Linked DNA regions of Coturnix japonica. The protein of the gene in region 2 interacts with the protein of the main gene of each other region in a biochemical or structural test. Links are inferred from orthologs where the notes say so. Each region holds a gene or a part of one and is shown on either strand. Other genes may lie near its edges.

Region 1 (5,236 bases), on a different chromosome or scaffold from region 2:
TGGATACAGACACATCAAATGGCCCACAATACTCACACAACCCTGCCTGACCCTAATGGTAGGAAACAGCATGGAGAGAGAGAAAGCTCACAATTCCTTTAGCAACTTCCATTTCTAACTGACGTTCAGCATGAGTGAAGGATGCAGTGTTTGTACCCAAAAATGTCTCCATTCCCAACACAATCCTGGAGAGTTTGTTCTTCCCAGTGCCCTACTATTGACCAGGGAAAAGCCATACATTTCATTTTCCCTGCAGTTTCCTTTTACTCCACTCCTGCATTTCTGAGCATACACTGATTGGATTGGATCAATAATACTAATTAAAAACTTTGCTTACTAACTATGCTACCTCAGCAGATCTTCTCCTATAGATCTGTCTGTAAGAGCCTTGGAGGTTCACCAAATCATGTAGTGATTCATGACAGTGTCTTTAAGACCACAGGAGCAGAACAAAGAAAATAGCACTGAAATACCAGAAAGCTTATGCACATATTAATTATACTTAAAGCTATAGCTTTTCCTTGACAGCTTACTTAAGTATTGCTTGTTTCAAAGCACCCCCTTGTGCTGGCACTAGGTAAGACAAATTATACAAGAAGCTTATGGCTGTCTGATACCTCTCTATCACTTGATCAAGATCTGTGTTTTTTATGTCTCCCAAACCCTTTTATCTGCTACAGAGGCCTTTTGTTTAATGGCTCATGTCCAAAGTCCTTCCAAGGTTTCAAAGTACACTGCTGGACCCGATCAAACTGATTGAATATAGATGGAGGTAGCCTTCAAACAGTAGATTCTTACTCTTGATGAACTGGAAAACGAAATTATGTGAACGTTGTATGTGTGGGAAAGTCTAACTAGATTCAAATATTATGAATCTCAGAAGGGAGCCACTTAACAATAATAAGTTCATATACTGTCCATGAAGTTTTTGTATATGTTGTTCACAGTTCATATGCCAAACTATTAAAGACTGTAGTTTTGAGACTTCCAAAGTTACAGTGACTTTAGTCACTTCATTCTGGGCTATCCAAAACTGCTTTTTAGAAATATCTTTTTCTGGAATTCAGGTTCCTCTGGCAGTGTCATGAATTGAGAGGAACAAATACAAAACCCCTCAAAGTTTGTAATAATTTTGGAAAATCTTGCCTAATTTATGTACTAGTGATTAACATTTATTTAGATAATGCTTTTGAAGAGCAACAACCATCATTTCAAAACTAGTGATTACAACGTTTCACTTCTCTTAAATCTAACATGTATATCCACTGCCAGCAATATTAGATTGGGCAACCTCTGTCAGTGGGAGTGTTCTGCTGAGACATCTTAACAGAGACAGCACACTTTCATTGGGGAAAAAAAATCCATTCCTTTTTGTTTTTTCAGACTTGAATATTGAAGATATTTTGGAAAATGTCCTGGTTCTGGGTTACCTCACTTTTTTTATTCTTTATTGCTTATGCTTTCTGTAATAAAAATAGAGCACATTTTCCTTGAGCAGATAAATGAAAGATTCTGTATAATTCTTGGTGTCTCAGATATTAATTTGGCGATCATTTAATTGCATCACAAGAGCTATTGGGTGAAATTAAATTACAAATAGATGAAGGCAGACAATGCCTTATAAAAATAAATAAATAAGTAAAGAGGTATCTGCAAGTGTTTGAAATTCTCCCTAACACACCCTACGTTGTTCATCCTCCAGAGAACCACGGCAACAGTGCCAGAATACCACTTTGCACAACAGCTACAGCATGCAGGCACCTGACTTCACTACCTACACAGGCTTTTTCATCTGTAGCATGCATATTTATATATCCTACGCACATTCCCCGTCTCAGTTCCTTGGTTCTCCCAGCTGAGCTGCATGTGATCTGCTCTGCCTCTCCTTCCTCCCACAGTGCCATCCTGCCAGCAGAATCCCTCCCATGCTCTTGTTGCTCCCTGTGTTGCGTTACGTTGTGCTTTGAGCATTCCTGGCAAGGCAGCAAAACAAATAGCTGATAGGTTTAAGCACATCATTCATTTGATTATTGACATAAATCTTAAGGATTAGCTTAGGTAAAAAATGTAACATACTATAAATACTATATAAAAGGCTATGTGTTTAATGCAGTTTAAGTGCATCAGTAAAGTTTAAATTTGAAAAGGACACATTGCCTGTGAAAGGCTGTGATTTTACATTGGCAAACACTGGGTGAACAGACAAAATTTTGCAGAAGTCAGGTGTGCTATGAAGTGTTGCTGTTGCACCTGATCCGAAGCAAAAATGAAAGCAGCAATGCTTGAAATACGGATTTTAAGTTGTGAGAAGTGCAGATCTAATACAACTTTTATTGCAGAATTCTTAGTGCTGACTCCATAAAATTCATCACATAAACAGCTGTTAATCTGTTCACTTTATCTTTTAACATTCGTTTAGTAATCAGTTCTCATTTGTTCTACATATGGTATAGCTTCTCTTTTATAGCAGCTGCATATAATGAACATTTGGAGGCTCAAAATGTATTACAAAAATTACCGCTTTACATTTTTCTACATTATTTTTGTATCTGTCACCAAGGACTTTTGAATGAAAGTTAGAAATTAAGGTCATTAAACATAGAGTAAGGAAAGTTCAGGTACTTTGTCCTCTTTCTGAACTGATGATTTGTAGTCAAATTTCCTGTGACCGTGCTTCACACTCTGCTTAGTTCCTTTAAGCAATTAATTTTCTCTATTTATACTGTCCATTCCCTTCTGTGATTCACTGACGTCAACATGTCAAATTTGATTCACTTGTCAGTTTTGTTCTGTGTCGTATGAGAGACCTCTCCGTTACACACTCAGAGTAACTTACAGACCTGGCAGACTGAGTGCATTTAGAGATTTTAGTAAACGAGAGTTTAAAATATTTAAAGTATCATCAAGTGTTCCAGTTCAGTGTTGGGATCTGTGGTCATTAAAACTGAGCTGTATGAACATAATTCCCTCCTGGACTGTTTGAGTATCATCTTAACTCCTTTTTCCCAATATTCTGATCTTTTACAAGACCATTTTATCACAGCAAGTGTTCTGTATTGTTTATTCATAATTCAGTTGTGTCCAGATTCCTGGACAGAATGAATAAATTGAACAAATGCTTTTCTTGGTAGGAAAGTGGGGGTGAAAATCTAGCTATGTCCAGCGAGTCTGCTAATATTAGGGTATGATGACTAATAGCACACATGCCCTTGGATTGGCCAGTAGTATGTCCTTGGTTAGTGTTTACTGGTGACCTTGACCTGCACTGTATTGTGAGGATTCTACACAGCAGCAGGCAGAGAAGTTCATCAAAACTGGCTGTTGGATCTGGTGCCATTCTGTAAACAGAAAATTCCTGGTCAGTTCTGCCCAATTCAGCCACAATGCCAGGTGGGTTGTAGAAATGATTAAAAAAAGGAAACAACTGCCTAAGTATGCCGAATATTTTGCAGGTCTGCACGGTGTAAATATATTGGACATACTGTTTTCAGATGGTTGATTTATTCAGAATAGCTGCGAGTTAATTTGATATGTGTCACCGGGCATGTAAATAGATAGATATTGGCACTGTGTGTGCAAAAGCGCGGTTGGGGGAAATATACAAAAGATGACAGAGTGCTTTAGAAAGAATTTCAGACATTTCTGCAAGGCATTTTCATTGCAAAACTTTCAGCTGTAAGAGAAATGTGCTTGTTTCTAAATTTAACCCTACTAACAGTTTACCACCTTCTCTTTTTTGTTTCTTTTTCTCTTCCAGTGCCACCTTGGGCCTTAATAGCCATAGCCATAGTTGCTGTCCTATTAATCCTTACCTGCTGCTTTTGTCTCTGTAAGAAATGCTTGTTCAAAAAGAAGAACAAGAAGAAGGGGAAGGAAAAGGGAGGGAAGAATGCTATTAACATGAAAGATGTTAAAGATTTAGGGAAAACCATGAAAGACCAGGTAAAGTACCTCTCCTTTTCTTCAACTCTTGAGTTATATTTGCAGAATTCTGCCTGACATGTCTAACAAAAAAATGTGCTTGACGCCTTGATAGTGGCTCTGTGAAGAGAGGACTGATAGTCAGCATATTCTCAATAGTATCTTAAAATGTGAATACAGGTATGGCATCACTGATAAAGCAGCCAACCAGTTTCTCTCCTCTGCTAATAAAATGAACAGACTTGTAATGACTCATCTGAAAGGAGAAAGTTTATTAAGAGTATATTGGCTGTGACAGAAATGTAGTAAATGTGTGCAGTTTTCAACAGTCTATTGTCAGGACTTTGACCAAGAGCAAGTATAACATTTATATCTTTCTAGCGGTAGTTCTGAGCACAGGTGATAAACACAGATCTGTACTCTGAATCTCCTTTTACACAAAAGCATAAGGTCAACTGAGAAACAAACAACAGCATAGAAGAGAAAATGAGAGACATATAAACAAAGGAAAACAAAATGAAATTGCATAGAGCATTTGGCACAGTGATGCTAAGAGAATTTATTTTGTGCAAGAGGTGGAGCTTAAAAATAGCAGGATATACTTGTAGCTGTAAGTCAGTGGAGTAACTCGGAGAAATAGATTAGCATAATGCCCTTTGAGTAGTATCATCTTCATGAGAGCAGAAAAACTTGTCCTTTAGATCTGCTTCATTAAAGAGAAGCAAAAGTTGCAGGACCTAATCCTCAGTGCCACAGACTTCAGTAATATGTTCCTGAAATATTATTTTTTTTAATCAGGATTTTATTATTGTCCTTCTTCCTTGCAGTTCTGGTGTTAAAAATTCATAGGTAAAGCTATTGAGAATAAACAGAAGAACAGGGAAATAAATGCAAAGAATTTGTGTGTTCTTTCTGCATTGCCAGATTTCCTAAGCAAAGACAAAGGGCTCTATTTTTCAAACAGAAAGTACTGAGGAGACTTAGAGAATTGCAATCTGAAACCTCTTCAGTAGCTGACAGTAACTGTAAAGATATTATACGTGTCTGTGCTTACAAGATCTTTTGTAAGATTTAGCCAGAGTAATTCAGAAGTGCCTTTTCAGTCAATGAGAAAAGACAAAAGTAAGGAATGTAAGTTCCTCCCATTAGCTGGAATCTAGTGTGTGAGGGAAGATGGGGTTGCAGACTGGTTGATTAGTAATAGAAGACAAATCTGGGAGCCTGAGGAATAGTGCTATCAGATCAAGAGTGAGATCCAGGAAAAGCCTAGAGAAGAGTAGAGTTGTAGGGAGCAGCCCAGCACAAGTGGTGGGAT
Region 2 (5,236 bases):
TCTACCTGGCAGAGGAAAAAGAACAGTGATAATGAGAATAAATCAATAAATTTAAAACACCTTAGTGTTCATTCCTCAGATGATGCAAATCTTAGTAAAATGAGAGGATAGTAAAGAGTAATAGATGGAGGAGGGAAATATAGATTTGATTTACTGTGTTTCAAGTCAAATCCAAACAATTTTATGATTCAATGGTGTCATAACAGTTTCTGGAAGAAAAAAGATCATGAAGAGAATTGGTCTCATTTTTCATTCATCCCCAGCCCCATCTGTATTTTGTATCCAAATCCAGAACCAAACCTGCAGAGTATAGGTGGCTTTTTACATGACAGCAGAAGACTAGTCTCAGTTTCAAACTCTGCAAAGCAACTGATGAAAGCAAAGAGATTCATTTGCAAAAGGCACGCCGATATCTTTTTTCTAAATTTCAATTCCTCCAAAAATTCAGGGACAATCAAATGTTCAATTCTTAGAAGGGATAGTTAGGAAGATCAAATATAATCTCTGGGGAATTTCAGATACTACTAAAAATGTAATAACATTTCACATTAAAAATATTTGCCACAAGAATCTTTTCAGTATCTATCATCATTGCTCTTGCAATCATTGCAGGTAGAATGCCTATTTGTCTGCTGAGTGATCATCTACCATGCAAGTCTGTCATACTGAGATTCTTGGCAGGTATACATATTGTGTATTTTCCCATCTGTTCATCTCCTTAGGGCAGGCAGAAAAAAAAACTATAAGCACAGAAGCAATGTGATCCTTTTGTCTGCAGTAGTACTCCCACTTTAAAACTCCCACTATAGAAAAAGTCCCTGTTCACACTCCTAGTTTATCAGCTTCTCCCCAGGAACTGGTTGTATGCATGCTCTTCCACAAAGTCACTGTAAGCACAGTGTATATTTTCACTGAGCCATAAAACACAGCTTGTCTGCCATGAATCTGCAGGCTGCATGTGGGGAGCCACTGTACAGAGCTTGACATGTATCAAATTCCCATTTGTTTGTCTACACTTTTCAAGACAATAAATTATGTGAAGTAACCATGGTGACTGACAAATGCTCATTTTTACCTTGTAACTGTAGTGTGCTGAATAGTTGACCCACTTTCTCACACCAGTCTTGTCCTCAACAGAGATGGACCGAACAGTGGCTTTGGATGCAGAAGTAGTGGGCATGTCAAATTCCACATCTACGTGGCGAACAAAACTGGAAGGCACTTCCCGGTCAGAGCCAAGCTCTAGGTGACAGAAGAAGCAGTGTGGATGGCCAGAAGCTTAAAAAAGAGAGCAAACAGACATGAAAGCTGTCTTGCTTTGTTGAAAGAAGATTGCATCTAAGTAAAAGCAACATCGTGAAACAGCAAGAAACTGAGAATCTGCCTGGGTGAACTACTTTGCATCAAATGTCAGGATCTTATCTGTTTCAATGCTCCATATGCTGGAGTTTCAGTTCAGTTTAATTAGTCAGAGTAAATAAATTAAATGAACTGCAAAACAAATGACTGTCAATCAGTCTAATTTGCTTTTAGTGGGTTATAAATCAACCACTGTAGGTAAGGATATTTTCCCTCTTCTTATTACCTCAGTCTATGTAACATGTTAAGAACACTGTGGAATATCCCTCTAAAATATGCGCTGACAGTAAGTAAAGGCATATTTGGCAGATATTTCATAGTTATTTTTGAAATGATTATCCCCATTTATTTTGAAAGCAAACATATTGGATAACATTAAACTTTCCTGGGTTCAAAAAGCATATTTGTGCACATCTTGGAAGTAATAATGTATTCATCATTCTTAACCATCCACTAGATAGCCAGTCATTAAAGATGGAAAGGTGAGAAACCAGTCATCAGTAACTGATCAATAACTGTCATTAGTAACTGATAACTTTTGCTATTATATTCTTCCCTTTGCTTTGCTGGACAGCAGAAATGTTTAAAAAAATGAAGTAGGAACTGCTAGCTAAGTTAAGTTGGCTGCATTTCTGACTGTTACAAACCCCCTAAGCTCTTGAGCAAGCCATTTAGGTTCTGTGCCTCAGTTTCTCTATCTGCAGAATGAACATTCACAGCCACTTTGGGATTTCTGACTGAAGGGATCCCATTATAAATTTGTTTTATAAAAAACAAAACAAAACAAAAAAAAGAAAACAAATCCCAAGCTCAGTAAATAATATTCCCCTCCCAGTGCAAAGCACAGCAGCCCTAGTTCTGATAACTGCTAGATATGGCCTAGACTGCATTTTCTCCTAACTTCATTTTCTGGAATGACTGAACAATTTGAGCAGAAATTCAGTTTAAAATTTTCCCCAAACTTAGCATATAATATTTCAGCCTACATTGTTAACCTGTAGCAGAATTGGACACAAGGCTCCGAAGTGCAGAATGTCCAGTGTCCTTAATAAGAGGGCTGATTATAGGAAAGCTGATCAAGGCAGAGAGCCTTCAGAAAAGCTTACAGTTGTAGTTCAGTGTTAGAAACAACCTGATTCCATGAAATATTTAGCTTTGCTGAATTAGTTCAAATAGTAAGAAATATCTGAATTTTTAAAAATTATCATTAACACTTTAACTCCCAGTGCACTACGTGATGTTATGATGTGGAACACCAGTAACCAAAAATCATAAAACCATGACATTCAATTTACAATGTAATTATTCAATTATTTAATTTCTTCCATCAGGAATACCAACTACTAGAAAGGACCATGCACAACGCTGAGACAAATACAGAAGTTATTAATGTAAATCAGATCAGCATGGTAGACAACCAAGCAAACAGATTATGAGAGCAACTCCTCCTCCAAAAGAAATATTGAGTACATCAGTGTTCATTAGTAACCTGAGGCACACAATGGACAACTTCTGTGCACCTTGTGTGTGCTCAGCAGGCTCACTCAGAGCTACCTCTGCAACAGAAAAATGCACATTTCTAATAAAATCAGGAGGAAATCACCAGACTGATTCTCTTCTGAGCTTCCTGCTTCCTTGTGCTACTAGCATTCCATTCTGAACATTGTGGACCTCCTAATGTAATTCATGTAGACACTTGGCTTACTGTGATTGGAGGGAATCTGTTCCAAAGCCCTCTGATGTCCTAACATGTTTGCATTACAGGACTTAATTTACTGCAGAGGGTGCAGCAGGCAGCATGCTGGGGACCCTCAACCAAACTGGACCCAAGTTCAACATCCAGATCCCCACTCAGAGGCTACAGCTCTGACCCATTCCAGGAATGTTTTCCCATGACTGGTGGCTGGTGGATGTTTTCCTAACATTCTGCTGGTGGGTTAATAAAAAACAGAAACACTTGGAGCCCAGACTGCTGCATGTGAAACTCTGCAAGGCCTTTTTTTGTCAAATGCTATGACTGTGTTAGCAGTAACATTTACCAAGTTACTTTATAAATGATTTCAGAAATATGCTCAGTAAAATGCAATCCACATTAGTTTTCTAGGTCAAATTATAGTCAGAGTACACACAGTCCTTTATTTGTCATACACTTTTTGACTTCTAGTCAGAAGCAGATGCTTTGTCTACAGAATAATACAGACAGTGCTGATAAAAAGTTCCTACAGTGAGAGTGCAAAGGGCCCCATCCCATTAGGATGCACAAAGAGAAAACATTTAATTAAGACAGTGAAACCACTGAGATAACCCTTACCAAGCCATTCTGCAGCCAGTGCACAGGCAGTGAGCATAGGACAGACCCACTCTGCATCCTCAGCTCTGCAGAGCTGGCACTCAGGGCAGGGAACCACTCTTGAGTGGTTCCATGTACACTCCTCTTTGTTTGCCACGTACTCTGAGTAAGGAAAGCTGTGGAATGAGTACTGTCAAGAAATGTAAATAGCCCTTGAGAGCCAAGGTCAGAATTAAGCTACACTTAACCTATCCTGTCATCACTTTGGGATTCCCTCCCTCTCATATACCCCATGTGTCCTTGCCAAGGCAGTGCTTGCAAGGCCCTTCCTTTCTCTGAAATTACATCTGGCCTGACCGGAGGAGTGAGGACACTCTCTTCCTTTCAGGATGTAAACAAATACTACAGCACTGTGTACTGCACTGTGACACTGACAGATAGGTGCTTTGTGGCAGGGTGCCAGCAGCAGTGCTGAGTGTGATTCATTTCCCTCTGACATAGGGCATGTGTAATGAAGCCTCACACTGGGAGGGACAAGATAAAGGAAGCAAGAGCCACAGATAAACATTTTGCCTTGCAGCTGCAGTGGGTAAGAGAGCATTGCCTTGCAGGAGACAACAGAGCCAGGAGTTCTGCTTCTTCTCCTGGTTTGCTACAGGCATCTTCCATGATTGTGTTAAAGTCTGGGGGCTTACGTTTTCCCAGCTGAAACATTGGTATGGTGTGATGAGATCTTTGGAAAGGAGATGCCACAGAAGGCCCAGTTTCACAGGATCTCATTCCCAGAGCTTATACAGATGGCATAGTGAGATTTCCCTCACAAGCAGGCTGTTGCTCATATACAGACCGAAGTTAATTTTTCACTGCAATATTTCATAAGTTCCCAAGCTCTCTCTCTTATGTCCTATACTACAGAATACAAGGAGTCCTCATTTTTGTCTGTGATATCCCTCCAAATGTATAACCTATGGTGTAACATGGTGTTCCTGGGCTGAAATGTGATCCAAAAGCTTAGAAAACACAGATCAAAGTTTTGCTAACACTGCAGCCTAAACTTGGGATAAACAACTATACTTAGAAAGTGTTAGATCCGGTCCAACACTGAACTTTTTTTCAGGAAACACCAAACACTGAAACCCATGCAGTCTCACAGCTGCATTACTACAGCATCAATACTAAAAAATATACACATATTTTAAAAAGTCTAAGTGAGAAAAATCAAGAAGTAGTAAGCAGTAATTGGCCAGTAAGTTTGCATGGCAATGGTGATGAATGGAAATGAATGAAATACAAATCACATGTGTTAGAACTACAGCACATGACTTGTTATTCAGTCATGTAGCACAGTATCTTGCCTTTGGAAGTCAACTGAGACAGCCTTGCTTCCAATGACAGTGCTAAACACACGGAGGTGTTTGATGCAGAAATTCCATAGTGCACTCATAAAACTGAGAAAGAAGGCATATTTTTGCATCTGGAAAGCCCCAATTGGTTTTTATCATTACCAGTGTTGGCAAGATAATTAAAACTACTGCAATGAAGGGCAGATAAATGCTGTGTGTAACCATCTGATGTCCTTCAGTACAC

The links.
Region 1: the proteins of STON2 (region 2) and SYT1 form a complex in vitro, tested with the Homo sapiens proteins (2 studies listed by BioGRID). The link is inferred for Coturnix japonica from reciprocal best matches to the Homo sapiens genes STON2 and SYT1.

The regions. Positions count from the first base shown.
Region 1 is NC_029516.1:35,736,781-35,742,016, forward strand, and holds part of SYT1 (synaptotagmin-1), read left to right. Parts: intron 1-3,757; coding exon 3,758-3,942; intron 3,943-5,236. UniProt on the Homo sapiens protein: Calcium sensor that participates in triggering neurotransmitter release at the synapse. May have a regulatory role in the membrane interactions during trafficking of synaptic vesicles at the active zone of the synapse.
Region 2 is NC_029520.1:37,099,702-37,104,937, forward strand, and holds part of STON2 (stonin-2), read right to left. Parts: intron 1,279-5,236; coding exon 1,076-1,278; intron 6-1,075; coding exon 1-5. UniProt on the Homo sapiens protein: Adapter protein involved in endocytic machinery. Involved in the synaptic vesicle recycling. May facilitate clathrin-coated vesicle uncoating.